Linked DNA regions of Callithrix jacchus. The protein of the gene in region 4 interacts with the protein of the main gene of each other region in a pairwise test. Links are inferred from orthologs where the notes say so. Each region holds a gene or a part of one and is shown on either strand. Other genes may lie near its edges.

What was found.
Region 1: the proteins of RFX6 (region 4) and DTX2 interact in binary tests that used the Homo sapiens proteins (3 or more experiments, as listed by UniProt). The two-hybrid records come from large-scale screens. The link is inferred for Callithrix jacchus from reciprocal best matches to the Homo sapiens genes RFX6 and DTX2.
Region 2: the proteins of RFX6 (region 4) and SS18L1 interact in binary tests that used the Homo sapiens proteins (3 or more experiments, as listed by UniProt). The two-hybrid records come from large-scale screens. The link is inferred for Callithrix jacchus from reciprocal best matches to the Homo sapiens genes RFX6 and SS18L1.
Region 3: the proteins of RFX6 (region 4) and NEDD9 interact in binary tests that used the Homo sapiens proteins (3 or more experiments, as listed by UniProt). The two-hybrid records come from large-scale screens. The link is inferred for Callithrix jacchus from reciprocal best matches to the Homo sapiens genes RFX6 and NEDD9.
Region 5: the proteins of RFX6 (region 4) and FRS3 interact in binary tests that used the Homo sapiens proteins (3 or more experiments, as listed by UniProt). The two-hybrid records come from large-scale screens. The link is inferred for Callithrix jacchus from reciprocal best matches to the Homo sapiens genes RFX6 and FRS3.

Annotation. Positions count from the first base shown.
Region 1 is NC_133503.1:11,212,481-11,216,547, reverse strand, and holds the start of DTX2 (putative E3 ubiquitin-protein ligase DTX2), read right to left. Parts: upstream 2,810-4,067; 5' UTR 2,746-2,809; coding exon 2,717-2,745; intron 1,345-2,716; exon of another isoform or gene 1,245-1,344; coding exon 1,081-1,244; intron 607-1,080; exon of another isoform or gene 494-606; intron 1-493. UniProt on the Homo sapiens protein: Regulator of Notch signaling, a signaling pathway involved in cell-cell communications that regulates a broad spectrum of cell-fate determinations.
Region 2 is NC_133506.1:57,735,610-57,739,123, reverse strand, and holds the end of SS18L1 (calcium-responsive transactivator), read right to left. Parts: intron 2,427-3,514; coding exon 2,307-2,426; intron 808-2,306; coding exon 593-807; 3' UTR 478-592; downstream 1-477. UniProt on the Homo sapiens protein: Transcriptional activator which is required for calcium-dependent dendritic growth and branching in cortical neurons. Recruits CREB-binding protein (CREBBP) to nuclear bodies.
Region 3 is NC_133505.1:19,413,432-19,416,945, reverse strand, and holds part of NEDD9 (enhancer of filamentation 1), read right to left. Parts: intron 1,510-3,514; coding exon 1,000-1,509; 3' UTR 1-999. UniProt on the Homo sapiens protein: Scaffolding protein which plays a central coordinating role for tyrosine-kinase-based signaling related to cell adhesion. As a focal adhesion protein, plays a role in embryonic fibroblast migration.
Region 4 is NC_133505.1:123,208,151-123,211,664, forward strand, and holds part of RFX6 (DNA-binding protein RFX6), read left to right. Parts: intron 1-474; coding exon 475-598; intron 599-2,485; coding exon 2,486-2,547; intron 2,548-3,514. UniProt on the Homo sapiens protein: Transcription factor required to direct islet cell differentiation during endocrine pancreas development. Specifically required for the differentiation of 4 of the 5 islet cell types and for the production of insulin.
Region 5 is NC_133505.1:50,289,812-50,293,780, forward strand, and holds the start of FRS3 (fibroblast growth factor receptor substrate 3), read right to left. Parts: upstream 2,809-3,969; 5' UTR 2,365-2,808; coding exon of another isoform or gene 1,991-2,364; 5' UTR 1,967-1,990; coding exon of another isoform or gene 1,334-1,966; intron 764-1,333; coding exon of another isoform or gene 560-763; intron 301-559; coding exon of another isoform or gene 163-300; intron 1-162. Other genes in the region: PRICKLE4 (prickle-like protein 4), read left to right, coding at 163-300, 560-763, 1,334-1,966; TOMM6 (mitochondrial import receptor subunit TOM6 homolog), read left to right, coding at 2,934-3,061, 3,556-3,652. UniProt on the Homo sapiens protein: Adapter protein that links FGF and NGF receptors to downstream signaling pathways. Involved in the activation of MAP kinases. Down-regulates ERK2 signaling by interfering with the phosphorylation and nuclear translocation of ERK2.

The DNA.
Region 1 (4,067 bases), on a different chromosome or scaffold from region 4:
GAAGCTGGCATGGTGTAAAGAGACTCACTAAGAGAACAATCCAGTCTAACCCATTCTACATGTGCCAGTGTGCTCCTGTAAAATGTCCCTCAGGAGGCCAAGCACAGCGGCTCAGGCTTGTAATCCAGGCACTCCAGGAAGCTGAGATGGGAGGATCACTTGAGGCCAGCCTGGACGACACAGAGTTAGAGACCAGCCTGGACAACACAGAGAGACACGGTCTCTAGAAAAAGTTAAAATATTAGTTGGGTATGGTGGTAGGCCACTCAGCTCCTCCCGAGCCAGGAATTTGAGGCTGTGGTTATGATCACTCCACTGCACTCCGGCCTGGGCAATAGCAGTAGACCCCACCTCAGACAAATACATACAATGCCCCTCATGGAATTCTGCTAAAATCCTTCTGCTCCCGAGTCTTGGCACGGCCCACATAACCCTCCCCCTCAGCCCTCCACCTGCTTTTCCAGCCTCCTCTACCACATACTAAGCTACTTACAGTGGCCCAGCTGTGTCCCGGTGGCTTCATGACTTTGCAAATGCTGACTCCTCTCCCAGGCGACTGTGCCCCACTTTCTAAGTCCTACTCCTCCTTCACAATCCCCTTCAACTACCACCTTCCAGAAGCCTTCCTGACCCTCCCCCGTCCCTTCCCTTCCTGGATGTGGGTAGGAGGGCCTTATGATTTCCCCCATCTCAGTATATGTCACACTGACAATATCACTGACTGTGGTTTGTCTTTGCCACCAAACAATGAGCTCCCAAAAGACAGAGATCTTGTCTGGCACCCAGTAAAGGTTTATGCAACAAAAGAAATGAAAACTGCCAGTTCAAATGCAGAAATCGTGACTTGTGTCTTCCATCCCATAGAGCATGTCTTAAAGTGGAAAGCATCTTCTAAGACTAGTTAAACAGGAGAAGCAGCTGGCAAGACGCCACTGAAATTTATTTGAGACAGGTGGCAATCAACAATTAACTCCCAGGGTGACCGTTTATCCTGTAGACCTCAAATTCCACCCTCCCCAATCCCCACCTTCTCTGCACCAGACAGAGAAGGCAGCAAGGTCAAGTCCCTGTGGCTCTCACCTTTTTCTCCTGAGAGCTGGCACGAAGCGTCCCTTTTGGATGAAGACACCAGCTCCTTAGGAGGAATGACTTGTTTGAGTTCCCATCTTGATGCAAACCACAAACAACAAAAACCGGGCAAATCTGAAAGGCTTGCTGACTCAGCAACACAATTTCCAAGGCACCTTTGCCAACAAGGAAGATGATGATCAGGTTTTAAATTGAGAAACAGCGGTTAGTAAAAACGAAGGTGCAGATGTTGGATCCGTGTGCTGTGCCTGGGGACTGAAAATCACCAGATTTATTTTCCAGTAGCCTGGGTGGAGCAGAAGGCCTCCTCCACCCACTTATCAAGGAGATGGTTGAAAAACAACAAAAAGCAAACAACAACAAAAAAACCCTGAGCCCTTCTATTTTTTTATTATGTATTTATTTTTGGAGATGGAGTCTTGCTCTGTCACCCAGGCTGGAGTGCAGTGGGGCGATCTCAGGTCTCTGCAGCCTCCACCTCCCAGGTTCAAGCAACTCTCCTGCCTCAGCCTCCCGAATACCTGGGATTATAGGCACAAGCCACTACACCCAGCTCTGAGCCCTTCTTTAAAAAAAAAAAAAAAAAAGTTTCGTTATCCCTCTGTCACCCATGCTGGAGTGCAGTGGCATGATCATAGCTCACTGCAGCCTCCAACTCCTGGGGCCAAGCAATCCTCCTGCCGCAGCCTCCCAAACAGCTGGGACTACAGGTGCCAACAGGCCCATCCAATTTTTTGTAGAGACAGTATCTCAGGAATCTTCTTCATTTCTCAGGCTTGTGTCAAACTCCTGGACTCAAGTGATCCTTCCACCTCGGCCTCCCAAAGTGCTGGGATTACAGGCGTGAGCCACCGTGCCTGACCTGAGGCCTTTCACAGAAAACCCTAAAAGAACTTCATAAGCCAGTCTGGCAGCTAAGCATCCAGGAAATCAACATACCAGAGACAGTAAATATTTGGCCAAGATCACAGAGCAACCGAACCAGAGGGCTTGCTGTCAGGATGGCTTAGGTAAGCCCGGATGGTGGCTACCAGAAAGTCTGCCTTCTTTAACGCTAGAGGAGCTAGGAGGGCATGCAGAAATATTCTGAGTTTCTCAAGGGTCCAGGCGTTTGTACACATGCTATTTATTTCCATCGCGGTTGGCGCTTAGAGAAGCGGAGCCGGCTTGGAGGAGGAGGGCGGCTAGCTGAGAGTCGCGATGAAAGCGCAACTCCAGAAAAGGGAACCGAGTTCTAAGTCTTCGTTGGCACCCCTTACGCACCCGCAAAAGGGACCCAGGAGGTCCTGGGAAAGTAGAAGGCAGACCCCAGCCGGAGAGCAGGGAAGCACAGTTAGAAGGCAATCTCCTCCAAAGTACAACCCCCAGACCGTAAGTCCCTTCACCTGGAGGTAGACCCCAGTAGGACCCACCCCTCGTCAGAGCCGGTGGCAATCTCGTCACCGCCTCCTCCGGGTCCTGTGGGAAGGGGTGCGCTCCTCCCGAGCGACCCGAACTCCCGGGGGCCGCGCCCCTCCGCCTGGGAGCCCCTCAGCCTCCACCCAGACGTCCCCTCTCGCACCCGGCACCCTGTCCCGTCCAAGGCTCCCGGCGCCTCCCAAGTCCCCCCAACTCCCGCCACCAGGACCTTGAGACCGGAGACCGATGCCCCGACATCCCTGATCTCCCGGGACCCCCGGGTGTCCCCGCCGCCCGGGCCGTCTACTCCCCTCACACCCACGCCCGCCCCCTTCCGGTCCCGGCTGTGCTCCGACTCCCCGCGCCACCCCGCGCCCCAGCGACGCGCAGGTAGCCTGCCCGCCCTCTCACCTAGGCTGAGGAGGACGAGAGAACGGGGCTGAGGGCACCACAGCGCTCGGGCTGTAGCTTCGGCTCGGCCTCGGAAGGTCTCCGGCTGCAGCTCCGACTCTCAGGAGAAGGCAACCAGAGTGAAACTCAGCGTCGCAGCTTCCGAGCGCGCCGCTGCGCATGCCCGGGGCGCGTGGGCTTCCGGGAAATGTAGTCCCGGAGGGGCCCAGGGGCGGGCAAGGGGCCGGACGCAAGGGGAGGGGCTCAACCCAAGGCGCACCTGCTCTGGTCTATGTTTTCTTCCTTCGCCTGTTCACTCATTCACTTATTCTTTAGTTACTGACTTCATTTTAACTAGTTTTTACTAGTACATACATGGTGCCAATTCAGGTGCTACTGTTTCTCTTTTTTGTTTTTCAAATTAACTTTAATTTTATTTTTATTTGTTGTACAGACGGGAGTCTTGCAATGTAGCTCAGGCTGATCTCAAATTCCTGGCCTCAAGTGATCCCCTTGCTTCAGCCTCCCGAAGCACTGGGGTTGCAAGTGTGAACCATTGAGGCCAGTCGTTTTAAATTTTTTTCTTTTTTCTTTTCTTTCTTTTTTTTTTTTTTTTTTTGAGACCGAGTTTGACTCTTGTTACCCAGGCTGGAGTGCAATGGCGCGATCTCGGCTCACCACAACCTCCGCCTCCTGGGTTCAAGCAATTCTCCTGCCTCAGCCTCCCGAGTAGCTGGGATTACAGGCACGCGCCACTATGCCCAGCTAATTTTTTGTATTTTTAGTAGAGACGGGGTTTCACCATGTTGACCAGGATGGTCTCAATCTCTTGACCTCATGGTCCACCCACCTCAGCCTCCCAAAGTGCTGGGATTACAGGTTTGAGCCACCGCGCCCGGCCTTCTTTTTTTTTTTTAGAGTCAGGGTTTGACCATGTTGGCCAGGCTGGTCTCAAACTCCTGACCTCAGGTGATCCGCCCACGTTGGCCTCCCAAAGTGCTGGGATTACGGGCGTGAGCTACCACACCCAGCCAAACCTTTTTGGATTTAAAATTTTGCAGGGCATGGTGGCTCATGCTTGTAATGCCAGCACTTTGGGAGGCTGAGGTGGGCGGATCACCTGAGCTCAGGAGTTCAAGACCAGCCTGATCAACATGGAGAAACCACGTCTCTACTAAAAATATGAAAAA
Region 2 (3,514 bases), on a different chromosome or scaffold from region 4:
GGCCCCCACGCCCACCTATCCCTGTCGCCTCCTGCCACGCTGGCCTCCTTACTGTCCTGGGAGCTCCCACTATTCTCGCTTCCAAGGTGCTCTTTCCTTAGCTCTTTCAAAGCCCTGATCACTGTCCCTGGACAGAAAGGGCTCCCCCTTCCCTGGGCTGAGCCTGCGGCTGCCCACCACTCCCCACTGTGTCTTCCTTCTGGAACTGTCCACACTGGTCAAATGTGGCCGCCTGCACTGGAAGGCAGGCTCCACTAGGGGCTCCCCGATCCGTGCTCAGCAAGGTCTGGCCCCATCGGACAAGTGACAGTCTCCAGAACAAGACATAAGTTCTAAAAGCACAGGGTTCATATCATGGCCACATGCCAGGCACCCAGCAGAGACCTGCCGTGTGCCCAGTACACAACAAATGTGGGCAGAGTGAAGGAATGAATGGGAGAACCAGGCATGCAGATTAACAGTAAGTTTAGGGCATGAAAAGCTGCTGCATGACTGAGGTGAGCATGTACACAGAAATAATTCTGAAAAACCTTACAGGCTCAGAGACTTAACATTCTGGAAGGAACCCTGGAAGCCAGTTAGTTCTAGCTCATTATTCCTCATGGCCATAAGAGAAATCTTCATTAAGTCTCAATAGGCAAGGCGGACAGGCACATCTGTTAACATCCAAAAAGCTTGCCTGCTCATAGCCGTAGGGCCGCTGCTGCTGGGCAGAGGGTGCCGTCTGCGGTGCTCTGTAGCTTCCGTACTGCTGGCCTTGGCCTTGCTGGTAGCCGGGGTACTGCGAGGGGGCTCCCTGGGCAGGCCCTGAGAAAACAGCAGAAACCGTGAGGCAGGCCAAAATGGGTGCATCCGTCTTTCTGCACCGGCAGGAGCTTCACGTTAACTCCGTATGGCGAGAGCAGCACACAACCAACTCACCAGCCCCTCCAGTCCTGTGAGGTTGCAGGACTGTGCCCCAAGCCTGCCACCAGCATGGGGGCACTGACGGCCTCTCTGCATCACCCCTGAGCTGCTGCTACCCAAAGATGGAGGAGCAGGAGAGCCCTCCAGAACCCGCTGGTGCCAGTCACACTGGCTGCTCTAAGTTAACTATCACAGGAGCTGCGGAAAACTTACAGAGGCATCGTCTCTAGGAAGCCTAAGTCAAAGGCTTTGGAGAGGACTGATGAAGGCCAAGTAATTTTTTTTTTGAGACAGGGTCTCACTCTGTCACCCAGGATGGAGTGCAGTGGCATGATCTTGGCTCATGGCAACCTCCACCTTCTGGGCTCAAGTGATTCTCCTGCTTCAGCCTCCCAAGTAGCTGGAACCACAGAAGTACACCACCATGCCGGCTCGTTTTTGTATTTTTTTGTAGAGATGGTTTCACTATGTCACCCAGGCTGGTCTCAAACTCCTGGCCTCAATCAGTCCTTCGGCTTCAGCCTCCCAAAGTGCTGTGATTATAGACATGAGCCACCACAATGAGCCTCAAGTTCTTTTTATTTTGAGACAGAGTCTCGCTCTGTCACCCAGGCTGGAGTGCAGTGGCACGACCTTGGCTCACTGCAACCTCCATCTTCCAGGTTCAAGCAATTCTCCTGTCTCAGCCTCCCTAGTAGCTGGGATTACAGGCACACACCACCATGCCTGGCTAATTTATTTTTAATTAATTAAAAATAAAAAAAAAGATGGGGTTTCGCCATATTGGTCAGGCTGGTCTTGAACCCCTGACCTCAGGTGATCTGCCCGCCTCTGCCTCCCAAAGTGCTGGAATTATAGGGGTGAGCCGCTGTTCCCAGCCTCCTCAAGTGATATTTAAACTACTATTTAATTAGCGATGGCCCTAAAGGGTGAGCAACCTTTAACAGGGCCTCTCCTTCCTCACCACAGCAGAATCATGCATGAGTCTCACAAGAAGTCACGTGGGTGAGGCTCATCCTGAGAACTGAGATTTTGCACAGACTGATCTGGGGCAGCCCCAGACCTTATTTTTCAGAAGCTTCCTGGGTGATTCTAAGCTGCAGTGAATGCCGAGACCCACAGGCTTTGACCTGCTCTGTCAAAGAGGTTGAAGCTGGGCATGGAGCGTGCAGGTGGCGGATGGACAGGACACTGGCTCCCTCACAGGCTGCTTGGGCAATGAATTTATGTTGATGTTTAAGTTACAATGTTTCAGGCCGACATGCATGGATGTTCCCAACTTCTCTGGAAACCTAAAGCTATTCAAAATAAGAAGCTGATTACACATCTGCCTATGTACCAGGGTTGCTGCACACGTGTCTGTGTGCGCTGGGGGGCCCTGAGGAACATGCCCCGCTTACCGTAGCCCTGCTGCTGCCCGGGGTAGCTCTGCTGGCTGGGGTACTGCTGCTGGGAGTAGGCCTGCTGCTGCGCGGCGCCCTGCTGGTACCCGGCCTGCTGCTGGCTGTACTGAGAGTTCCCTGGAGGGAGAAGGAGACACGTAGCTGACTTCCTGCGCAGGCTATAGGAGCCGTCCAGGCTAAGGCAGCGCATTCTTTGAGCAGCTCACGACACGTTAACTCTGGAATTCCAAAACCAAATCTGTGGCTTTGGCATGTACACTTTCTCACAACGATTCAAATACTAAACTATACCTTTTTCTTATCTTACGGAAATACAAATGGAAAGCTAAGAAATGAAACTGTTAACGCGACAACTAAGACAGAGACGAACGCCAGCATTGTGGGCGGAACAGTGCTCCCCAGAGAGATGCTGAAGTCCTGGGAGGACTCAGTCAAAGGATTCAGAAAGAACTGATAAAGCCAAGTTATTATTAATAACTCACTCTGTCACCAGGTGGAGTGCAGTGGCGCAATCTCGGCTCCCTGCAGCCTCTGCCTCCACCTCCAGGGCTCAAGTGAGCCAAGGGCCTGCGAATGGGACCTTATCTGGGCATAGAGTCTGTGCAGACATAATTTTATTTTTTTCAGTGACAGGCCCTCACTCTCTCACCCAGGCTTGAGTGCAGTGGTGCCATCAAAGCTCACTGCAGCTTCAATCTCCCTGGCTCAAGTGATCCTCTGACTTGAGCCTCCTGAGTAGCTAGGACTATAGGTATGTACCAGCATGCCCAGATAATTTTTAAATCTTTTGTAGAGACAGGGTCTCCTTATGTTTCCCAGGCTAACCTCAAGCAAGCCTGCTGCACCGGCCTTCCAAACCGTTGGGATTACAGGCGTATGCCACCATGCTCCATGCAAAGAGTCAATTTTCCTATTTTACTTGTCTGGTTGGAAATAACTTTCCTTTTTCAGAAGCTGTAAAATTTAAGTATTTTAAAACTGGAATCTAGTAATGTATTTTTTAAAATAACAGCTTTATTGAGATGATGCACATTGGAATAGCTTAAAAACCCATCAGGGTAACTCAACCTGTGGTTAGATGGGATGACAAAACACCTGCTTTTATTCCAGGTTGAGCTCCTCCCTAAGGTGAGAACTTTGGAGAAACCTGCTTAAGCCTTCCCAGTTACTCTTCATCCAGGAAATCCCTTGAGTCCTGAACTTCC
Region 3 (3,514 bases), about 100 Mb from region 4:
TCCTGATGGCTATAGTTCCGTGATCAAGGACCTGGCCAGTTTCCCTCAGGTAATGGGGGCAGTAGCACCAAAGTGTATGTGAAGAGTTAGGAAGGCCTCTAGTTGCAACTGGCGGATCAAACCATTCCCGTGTTTTGGTGAACAATGATAATCTGATATGTCTTTGTGAATCCTTGCTGCAGATACAGTTTTTACAACTCAAAAAACATCTTTGGAAAACCTCATGGCTGAACTGCTCGCAAATGCAGAAGATCCAATAGCCCCAGGGAGGCAGTTGCTCTCCTTTTATTGTAGCTCTCTCAGTATTGAAACAACCCAACCCTAACTGTGGTCCTGGCCTCTAAACACACAGGTCTGTCCTCCCTCCAGCACCTGAAATATCAGAACTTGGATTCACCTATATATTCTGAAATTTGCTCTGCGAGAGGGTTTTTGGGCACTTGGCCATTGTGTGTTTACAATGGTCAACTGTGACGAGTTTTCAAAACAAGAATAAGTCATGCTGTGCCTCATCATTTGGAAGGTGAACACTTGCAAATGTACATGCTTCCCAGATTTGGCAGAGCCAGGCTCAGAATCATTATAAGCACATGGAGAACAATATCATAACCAGCTGGCATGTTTTTAACAACAAAAACATGCAGCATTAGAAGGTGCTTACTAAGGTGCTTCTTAATTCATGTTGTTTTAAATGAAATACGTCAGACAAACATCTACAAACAAACATGAATATATAGGCATACACAAGCAGTGGACAAGTTTCTGTACAGTTTATGTCTTAGATACTTCTATGTATACATAAGAACCACTCAGGGGGAAAAAAAAGATTTCCCTCTCCAGCTCCCTGAATTTCTGAAAGTTGTCTAACCCATAAAATGTTAAAATATTTCATTTTCATATAAAATATCTACAAAAATAGATAATATTTACAAAAACCAGATAATATTTCCAGTTTTCCTTAGTAACCATTAACACAGTCCCCTTCCTCTTTTTTTCTTCTCAGAATGTTGCCATCTCCAGCAAAGAGCGCTTGAACAGCTGGGCATTTCGAGAAAGGTCTGTCACTTGGTGCACCATTTCCTGCAGGGCCGTGGTGCTGGGGTAATGGAGGGCGGCCATCTTGGTCGCCATGACTATAGTCTTGAGCTGCTCGCAGAGCTGGTTGCTGGAGTTCATCACTTTGTTGCGAATGTCCTGGGAAGTCACCTGCCGTGTCAGCGTGTCTCCAATGAACACCAGTTTGTGTGCACTGAGGATGACAAACTTGCTGTGTGCCACAAAGATTCGTGGGGGCTGGGCTGAGCTGACACAACTGAAGAGCGCGTCGATGGCGTTGAGAAGGGAGATGAAATGGGTCTCACATTGGTCATAGTAGAAGCACAGCAACTGCCGATCCTGGGCACTCACGCCGCTGTTTGTGGTGGGCAGGCTCTGAGAGGGCTTCCACTTCGAGATGTCATTCTCCACGGGCTTTGTAATCTCTTGTTCCAACAGCTGGAACTGGCTCAGCTGGAAGGAAGACAAAGTAGATTTCATTAGGGCAAGGGAGTGTGGTGCAATGCAAATTAGCCAGGGCTTGGAGTTAAAAGACGGGGATTTTCGTCCCTAACAACTGTCAGATGCATGAAGTTAAAAGACGGGGATTTTCGTCCCTAACAACTGTCAGATGCATGTGAGTGGTGCAGCCTGGGTCAAGCTGCCTTGCTTTCCCAAATTGTAAAATGTAGATGTTGAGATAGATGATCCTCCAGCTCAGACTTTCTATGACTGGACCACTGGTCTCTTGTACCCCTTGGCTAAAAGTCAACATAGGGTATAAAGCACAGCCCTGTTACCTACACCTTTAAGGAGGTTAAATGAGTTAAAGTTTACAAATTGCTTAGAATATTTTGGTATGGAGTAGGCGCTATATAAATGTTTATTAGTGTTAAGTGGTGGTATGGGAAAACCAAATGTAGTGACCTCTTGTCGGATAAGTTACTGACAATTTGCTCCTTCTTGGGGAAAGTCTCAACTATCTCAGGATGCTCAGATGCAATGACCATTCCTGACCCCTTTCTATTTATCTGTCAAGATTGATAGACATGTTATGCTCCAGCACTACATGACTAATGAATATAAATATTAAGCACTTAAGGAAAAAAAAACATTTCTAAGGAAGTCTGAATGGGAAATGTGCATCATAATATTTAGTCCCCCAGAGCTAAAAGACGAGGGCCTCACCCAGAGTCAGATGCATGAGGTGCTGGCTTTCTTCCTTCTTTTCTCATTGCTCCCAAATGGTGTATTATTTAAATTGTGATTACGATAATTTCTAGCAATTCCACTAAGACTCAGGGGAGACCTCTCTTTTGCAGGTAAGTATCTGTGACCTGAGCTTAGGACTCAGTGAATCGTCTACCCGGAGGGAGGGAGGAGCTGGAGCAGTGATCACCTCACAAAATGCATGGCCAGCTTTACTTTTCTGGAATCTGTTTTCTTCTTAGGGATTGCTATGATTTCAACAAGTTCCCCAGAGCCCTGCCATCTTACCTTGCTAGATGCCAAGGCAAACACAAACAGGTACAAGGTGGTATTCCAAGGCAGTTAATCATATGGATGATATTTAATATATCTTAGGCTTTATGCAAATAGGTTCATCAATGTACCAGGTCATTAGATTGGAGAGGTGTACTTTCCCATTATATAGAGAAGTAACTGAAGTTCGGGGAGGATACGTAGTTGGTTGTACTTGACATGGTTGGCCAGAAAGAATTAGAACTCAGATTTCCTAAACATAGCATGCCATTTCATGTCATTATATGCCATTTTACTTCATTTCATCTTAAAAGCCTTGTAAATAAATCCTCAAGCCATCTCTCTTTATTTTTATGCCCTTGTCCTAGCAATACTCATTGTCTGCCCTACTCATACCCAACTTTTGAATGAACGTGCCCTGCCCAAAGTCCTCTGTAGATAGGCCTGGAGATATGTTGAAAACATTCAATTCTACTCCCTACTCTTAGACTGGACCAAGGCCGGCCAAACCATAGGCTTGTGATGCTGGCGAGAGAGAGACAAATAGAGAGGTAGAGACAGACAGAAAGACAGAGAGGTAGACACACACACACACACACACACACACACACACACACACAGAGAGAGAGAGAGAGAAATGGCCCAATCAAAATAGCCCAATCAGACTCTTTCTTAGGAATCCGATGAACCACAGAAGGGAGCTAACCATTGGAAGATGAAGCTGAGATGAGAGGTCATCTATAGAAAAAGCTCTGAGTGTCCATTTATGAGTTCTGCAAAGTTACGGGGGAGCCAAATGAGTAGATAAGCAGAGGAAACCAGAAAATAGAAGAGATTGAAGTAGATATATAGAAAGAAGCAAAGGAAGTACAAGAAGGAGAGAGAATTTACAGTTCTAGTTCTCACCAGACCTGGCTCTATCTTCATTTTCTGTTACTGAATTCCCTTACTACGGCTTTGCTATGAACCTGTTTGCTCAGGTTAGCTTGAATGGGTC
Region 4 (3,514 bases):
TGTTTTTCCCTAACTATTCAGGGCTCAGAATTAGGTTTTGAATGAAAGTGACAGAATGTAGGCATTTGCCAGCCTGAAGCTTGGCAGCACATTAGTGCTGAGAATGTTTTTTTAAAATACCCATCATCTTCAATTTCACCATTCATATTTATATGTCACAGAGCAAATCATGATGACCCATGAGGTTTATATAGGAGATCTAATATTTGTGATGTGGACCAGGCATGGTTTTATGTTACTCATAATATTTTAACTGCACTAGCAGATTTTTCAGTGGGGTTCTTGTTCTTCTAACATTATTCCTCATAATCGGACTTTTAAAAAAATCCAGAATAAAAAAAGTCTACTTATGTCTACTCATTATCTCATTTGCATAGGGTCCATATTCAAAATGGGTAATAAATCAATGAGAAAGTAGAAGGAAAAAAAGAAATAAAGAAAAGATTTGACCTTATTTTTGTTCCTTTTTCTTAGGCTTGAAGAGAATTACATTGTATGTGAAGGAGTTTGCTTACCACGGTGCATTCTTTATGCACACTACCTAGATTTCTGTAGGAAAGAGAAATTAGAGCCAGCCTGTGCAGCCACCTTTGGAAAGGTAAATGACACATATTGGCTATAGTGACTTATAACTAAAGTCATGTTGGGCAGATAGCATAAAACCAAATTCATCTGTGTAAGTTCTCTTAGAGACTACTGCGACATCTGTTTTGCAGGCATAAATTGTCTTAAGGACTCTGTTTGGAAGTGCTATATCTTTATAACTTGATTTTGAATATCAGAACCCTAACTATTAGACTATCTAATGCAAATTGAAAGCAAGCTTTGTTTAAACAGTAGCATTTCCCTTCAAAGAGGGATGCATTAAAGTACATGGTATGGCCAGTGTTAAGAAGCAAAATTAAATGGAGTGGTAAGTCTCTTGATAATGCAATTAGTGGTTAGTGGGTATCTTTATTATTTAGCTAGTTCAAATATATGAATTTTTAATAGGTTTTTACTGTATTAAAAGTTCTCCTAATTCTCCATTTCACTCTGTTTGCATTCCCGAACCTCAAGATTTTATGATGGGATGGATTAGAATTCTCTCATTTAAAAGTATTTCTTTCTATCCAATCTGTATGGTTAGGATGGGAATCTGTATAAGTGACATTACTATACTTATATATATAGAGAGAGACATCAGTTTGAGAATCAAAATCAATCTTTTAAGAAAGTCTTGTTCTTAAGAGTCATGTCATGCTGTGTTTGAGGACCTAGGATATCCCAGAAAAACTTTAGGAAGCTTGAGTCTCAAATATTGTATCTCATACAAATTGACATCCAGATTCTGACCTGTAGAAGGACTCATTGTCCAGAAAATAATGAATACTATGCTCCAGCTTCTCATTAAAAAAATAATAATTTATACAAAATTAGACAGGCGTGGTGGCTGATGCCTGTGATCCCAGCTACTTGGGAAGCTGAGGCAGGAGAATTGCTTGAACCCAGGAGGTGGAGGTTGCAGTGAGCTGAGGTCATGCCATTGCCCTCCAGCCTGGGCAACAAGAGCGAAACTCCATCTCAAAATAATAATAATAATAATAATAAATTATTTATTTATTTTGAAAACCTAGCTATTTACAGAGAGAGTGTGATATTGCACACTGTGTAATCAGGTAATCTAGGTTCTAGCCTAGACTGGACTAATTTATTGTGAAACCTTCTGAAAAGCACTTAATCTCTTTAAAATTCAGTTTACTCGTTCTATTAAATGAGGATTTTGGATAAGACAACTTCTAATATCCATAATAACATTACCATTTTCTGAGTCCACCTTATGGGAACAATTCGTAACTGTTTGGCAGTCCTGAAGCACCTTGAAAATCTGGTAAAACTATAGACTCAGCCTCCAAGAAATTAACACATACATAGTTTGCCTTGGAGCTCTCTGAAGTTCATGTATGGATCTTCAAAGATTGAGGTTAAAATTGTTTTATGTAAAAGACTTTTTGAAATTTTTAATCAGATCCTATTTTTAGCAAGTTTAGAGAAAGGAAGATACAAAACAAAAATTTTATAACATTACAACGGAGACACAGTAAGGCAGAGAAAGTTTTATATGTCCTTTTGGGGTTGGGAATAGATTTTTAATTGTGGGTATCTCTGAATGGAATCATTAGGAAGAGACTCAAATCGTGTCACTTCATACATACACGAAGTAATAATTTCTTTGATGGTACCATCAAGCAAAAGCAGATATTGGTATGCTTTGCCTTTGAAATTGAGAACAGGTCAGTAGAACCCTTCAACCAAAAAAGTACCTCCCTGCCTCTGCTGATACATTGCTTATCAATATGTGTAAGTTATTACTTTTTCCAGACTAAGTGTTCACTCACAGTTCATTCAGAGTTCAACATTCACTTTCCCCAAGTAATTGTCTACGAGTGGCTTGTAATAGGACCATATACTTTCTAAAACCTAAAGTAATTGTCTTTCTTTTTAGACAATTCGCCAGAAGTTTCCCCTCCTAACAACAAGGCGGCTTGGAACAAGAGGCCATTCAAAGTAAGATATCAATGAATATAAATCAGATTCTGCTCTTGTGCATGAGGATTGACACAAAGGTAAAATAAGTATTGTCTTTGTCAGTACAAAGAGAACCAGATATTCTCTTGATGAAGCAGACTTTTACCAACTGTGAGAACTAAAAAAAAAAAAACAAAGTAAATTTTAGAATAATTTTTAAAAAGCAAATTTTACATATGAAAATCGTAATATATTATTATTTCTGCTGAAATAATTTAAATGAGTCATTTTCATAATCTTTAAGCTATTACTGAAGGCACCAGTGTCATGAAGGAGGAATGTATGAGAATTAACTATAGTGAACCAAGCAGACTCCACAATGCTCCCAAAGAGCAAGGCCCAAACCAGGGGGTATAGAGCTTTGAGTAGGAAGGAAGTGCCTTAGCATGTTTCAGAATCTTCCTCTAGTTTTCTTTCCCAGGAAATCGTTTCTTGATATCTCCTTCTTTTCTCTTCAAGACAAATGACATGCACAAATGGCCTGTTTGGTTATTTCTTAATATATATATAAACATAAAATAAGCAGTCACACATCCCTTCTCTTCGTATCTTTAAATTTTCCTCTATGTTGTGACAGTCTCTGGAGAACTCCCAGGTACAATTTCTCATTCAACACTATTTTCTCTATGTGCTGTATTTTCAGTTTCTCCTTTCCTTCTGCCTATAAGCATGCCTTTATGCTGAGAAAGAAAAAAGTTCCAACCTTCATGATTGCTCTAGTATTTCCCGCTTTGAGTTGTTGCTTCCCCTACCTCTGGCCTAGTCCATTTCTCTACCATGGCAAAAATCCAATGACTGGTTTTTACTGTTACTCATCTGCCTTGGCTCCTGCCTAGCATTTGAATCAACTGATAATGCCCTCTTTAAATAAATAGATAGAGAAAACTTCCTCTATAGCTTCTCTGTCACAGTACTATCCAGGCCCTCGTCCCTCTTCTACTACTCT
Region 5 (3,969 bases), about 73 Mb from region 4:
CCTTTCCTTCTTCTATTTGCCCTTCAATGCCATTATCTCTGGCATCTCCCTGAGGTTCTACAACCTTTCTCTGACCTAGCAGCCAAGTCTTTTTTCCTCCAACCAATGCTCCATCTTGCCTGCTGGGGCTCTCCCAGTCATTGCAGAGGACTGTTTCTGCAGGAGCGCTACTGCCTGGCCCTTGGGGAGGAGGAGCTGGCTGAGCTGCGGCTCTTCTGTGCCAGGCGGAAGCAGGAGGCCCTGGGACAGGGGGTGGCCCGCCTGCTACTTCCCAAGCTTAAAGGACACACCTGTGAGAAGGTACGTAGTACCCCTCCCCCCAGGTTCTCCTTCCTCCACTCTTTGCCCTCTTATTTCTGCAGAAGGCACTAGCTTCTGGGACTCTGGTTGGGAAACAGGAAAAACAGAAACCAAGTTTGGGAGCTCTTGGTATAGGCTGCAGTGGATGTGGGCTTGCTAGGGTATGGTGAGAACAGGTTGGGATTGGATTAGAAGATCAAGGAGGGAAGTTAGGTTGGTAGTGCCTCCTCCGACCACCTCAGCACCTCCCCTCCCACAGTGCAGGGAGCTGCTGAAGCCAGGGGAGTACGGAGTGTTTGCAGCCCGGGCAGGTGAACAGCGCTGCTGGCACCAGCCCTGCTTTGCCTGCCAGGCCTGTGGCCAGGCCCTGATAAACCTCATCTACTTCTACCATGATGGACAACTCTACTGCGGCCGTCATCACGCAGAGTTGCTGCGCCCGCGCTGCCCAGCTTGTGACCAGGTACAAAAGAACTGGGGGTCTCCCCAGGGTCCAGAGTGGCAGGATACAAAGGGACACTCTCCTGGGCCACAGGTTCTCCCAGTATCAGGGAGCGGGGAGAACTAGTAACCAGCCTGGGACTACCAAGTTCCCTGTGTTCTGACTTGAGCTCTGGGCATGTGGGGCCCACGGCCTTTCTTGTGCCCCCATTGCAATCAGAGTCCCTCAAATGTTCTTGGACTCAGAAAATTTCTCTAGAGCAGGGACTCTTGGACAGATGCTCATAAGTATATGCCAAGTGCCCAGTGCTGTGCCTCATCATGCTAGAAATTCCCTTAAGGCCAGCATAAAAGGAAGCCTGGAGCCCTGGGTTGGGAGTCCAGACCCCCAGGTCGAACTTTGGATTGTGCCACTTGCTAGCTGGCATCCTGGCTAAGCCAATCAGTCCTCCCTGTGTCCAAGAGTGGCTGAGTGGATCAAATGGGAATGTTTGTAGACGTGCTTTAGCGTTCTGGGTATAAGGCGTGGTTACTGGATGAATGAATGAGTGAATGAATGAATGAATGAATCGTTCCCCTCTCCCTCTCCCAGCTGATCTTCTCTCGGCACTGCACCGAGGCAGAGGGACGACACTGGCATGAGAACCACTTCTGTTGCCAGGACTGCGCCGGGCCCCTGGGCGGGGGACGTTATGCACTGCCTGGGGGAAGCCCCTGCTGCCCCAGCTGCTTCAAGAACCGCTACTCGGATGCAGGCTGGAGCTCGGCCGGGGCACTGGAAGGGCAGGCGTTCCTTGGTAAGGCAGAGGATGCAGGTCAAAGTGGGAGGGGGCTTGGGCTGGGCTGTGGGGGTTCTCCCGGGCTGGGACCCTTGTCCCGGTCCCACGCCGTCCCGTCCCTCCAGCAGCGCCCGCGGCCTCCCACCGCACCCCCCATACCCGAGCCTTGGGGCCCGCAGCTCTCACCGCGCGTCCCTGGCTGGAGCGTTCCAAGGGCCTCTCGAACCCACCCCGCACCGCGGTCGGGCTTGCGGCGCCGCAATCCCTCCCAGGCACGGGACGCGGCCGCCCTCTGGTGGGTGGAGGCGGGGGACCCAGGAGAGGACTCTCGGCAGCGGCGCACACGGCCTAGGGGCGGGGAGGGGCGGGGCGGGAGGCTGGGCCTCACCCCGGATAGCTGCGGTGGTGGTCTAGCCAGGCTCTGGAAGGGAGATTCCGCGCTCTGAGACCAGCGTTTCCGAACCGGCCAGGAACAGGGGAGGCTGGACCCGACCGAACTGAAGGAAGGGACCAAACCTCGCTGACCTCTGTGACCCTCTCCCGAACACTCCTCGCTGCTGCCGGCTGTTCCAGCCTGCAAACTCGGACCGGGCTGCCTGGATCCAGTCCCCAGCAGAAAAGCCGACCTGGGGACAAAGCGGAGGCACCCAAAGGGCAGGAGCAATGCCTCCTGAAGACTCCTCGTCATCCCAAGGACACTCCTTTCCCCACCTACTCCTCTTCTTCTGACTCGGAACCTGAAGGCTTTTTCTTAGGCGAGCGCCTTCCCCTGTCCTGGAAGACCCCCGGAAACCTCCAAGCAGAGGACAGCAACGCCTCTAAGAAGCACTGCACCGTGTGCTAGAGGTGCAGCTCAGAGAAGGGGTGTGAATGGAGGGAAAGAGGTCTGTAGAGCGGGAGAACAAGGCTATCCTCCCCCTAGAAAAATCCGAGAGTGAGACGCAGTCATGCGCACGCCCGCGAGAGGCGGCGAGGTGACAAGTTTGGAGTGTACTCCCTTCAGCACTGCGTGTTCTAGGACTTCTGGTGGAGACCTTTTTGGCAAAACCCATTGTCCAAAGCTACACTTCCCTTGCTGAGATAGCCTCCACCCCCACCTCCACAGGCTGGGACAGCCCCGTCCCTACCATCCTCCTCCTGAGCCAATTAAATGATCACAGCACGCGTGACGGTTACCGGCTGGAGCGCCGGAGGTGGGACGGGGAGCAGGGGACCGTAGAGCTGGGCCGCGCTCCTCCCCTCGTAGAGTTGGTGGACGCGCAGCAGGGGGCCGTCCCTCTCTTCCGTTATCGGAATAAGCGAACAGCGTCCCCTGCAGGCCGGTGGCCGCCGGAAGTGCCAGACCGGAGGTGCGTCATCCTCCGGCGACGCCGATACGGTGCCTCCAACGAGGTTCGTGCGAAGCTTCCTATTATGGCTTCCAGCGGGGTCCCGGTGAGCGCTGCCGGCTCGGCTAATGAAACCCCCGAAATACCGGACAACGTGGGAGATTGGCTTCGGGGCGTCTACCGCTTTGCCACTGATAGGAATGACTTCCGGAGGTAACCGAACCCGGAGAACTTGGTCCTTCTCTGGTCCTTACGTCCGTATTTTCCCTTCCTCGCGGGGCTGACGCCTCAGGGTTTTTGTTTGTTTTTGTTTTTTAAACATTGCTGGCATTATGGCTTCTTCGTAGCTCTGGCTGTGTCTCACTGAGGTCCTTTACCAAGAGAGTTCCCGTGTGGCAAAAGCGATCTTTCTGTCATGTGGCTGTATCTGTAATGTCACCCTGATCAGGGGGAGAGGTGCCAGCACGTAAACAAGCTTTTTCGGCCCTGGACGAGTGCTTCACTAGGGCTTTGCGTTTGATCTTACATTTATTAGGCACAAAAATGAACTCCAAATTCCCACGTGGGTCTTCAGCAACCCACCATGTCACAACCACGTATCAACGCCTCGGGAAGGTGGTGGTAACTGGAAACCTTTTCCCCCAGTACTTTTCGTTAACCGTACAAGTGACTGACGACAGGGTTAATAAAACACATTGTTTTTCCAGGAATTTGATCCTTAATTTGGGACTCTTTGCTGCGGGAGTTTGGCTGGCCAGGAACTTGAGTGACATTGACCTCATGGCACCTCAGCCAGGGGTGTAGCCAAGTAGGTAAGAACTGAACTACACCCCTGCGTGTCTTAAGAGACCTAGAGGCTGGGAGAAGCAATATTTTCTGACAGCTGTTCACGAAATGTACAAGAATGTGATGTAAAACCCTTGACTATTCCTAGTTAAATGTGTTTTCAGATGTTGCAAGGGATTTAAGTATCTCTTACCAATTTCCCTCCCATAGTTTTACATTTCTAATGCCACCCATTGTCTTATCATCTGATTGCAGACAAATGGAATCCTGTGCTGAACCTGAACCTTCCAAAAAACAGCCTACAATCTGTGACCATCACAAGATGTGCCCTGATG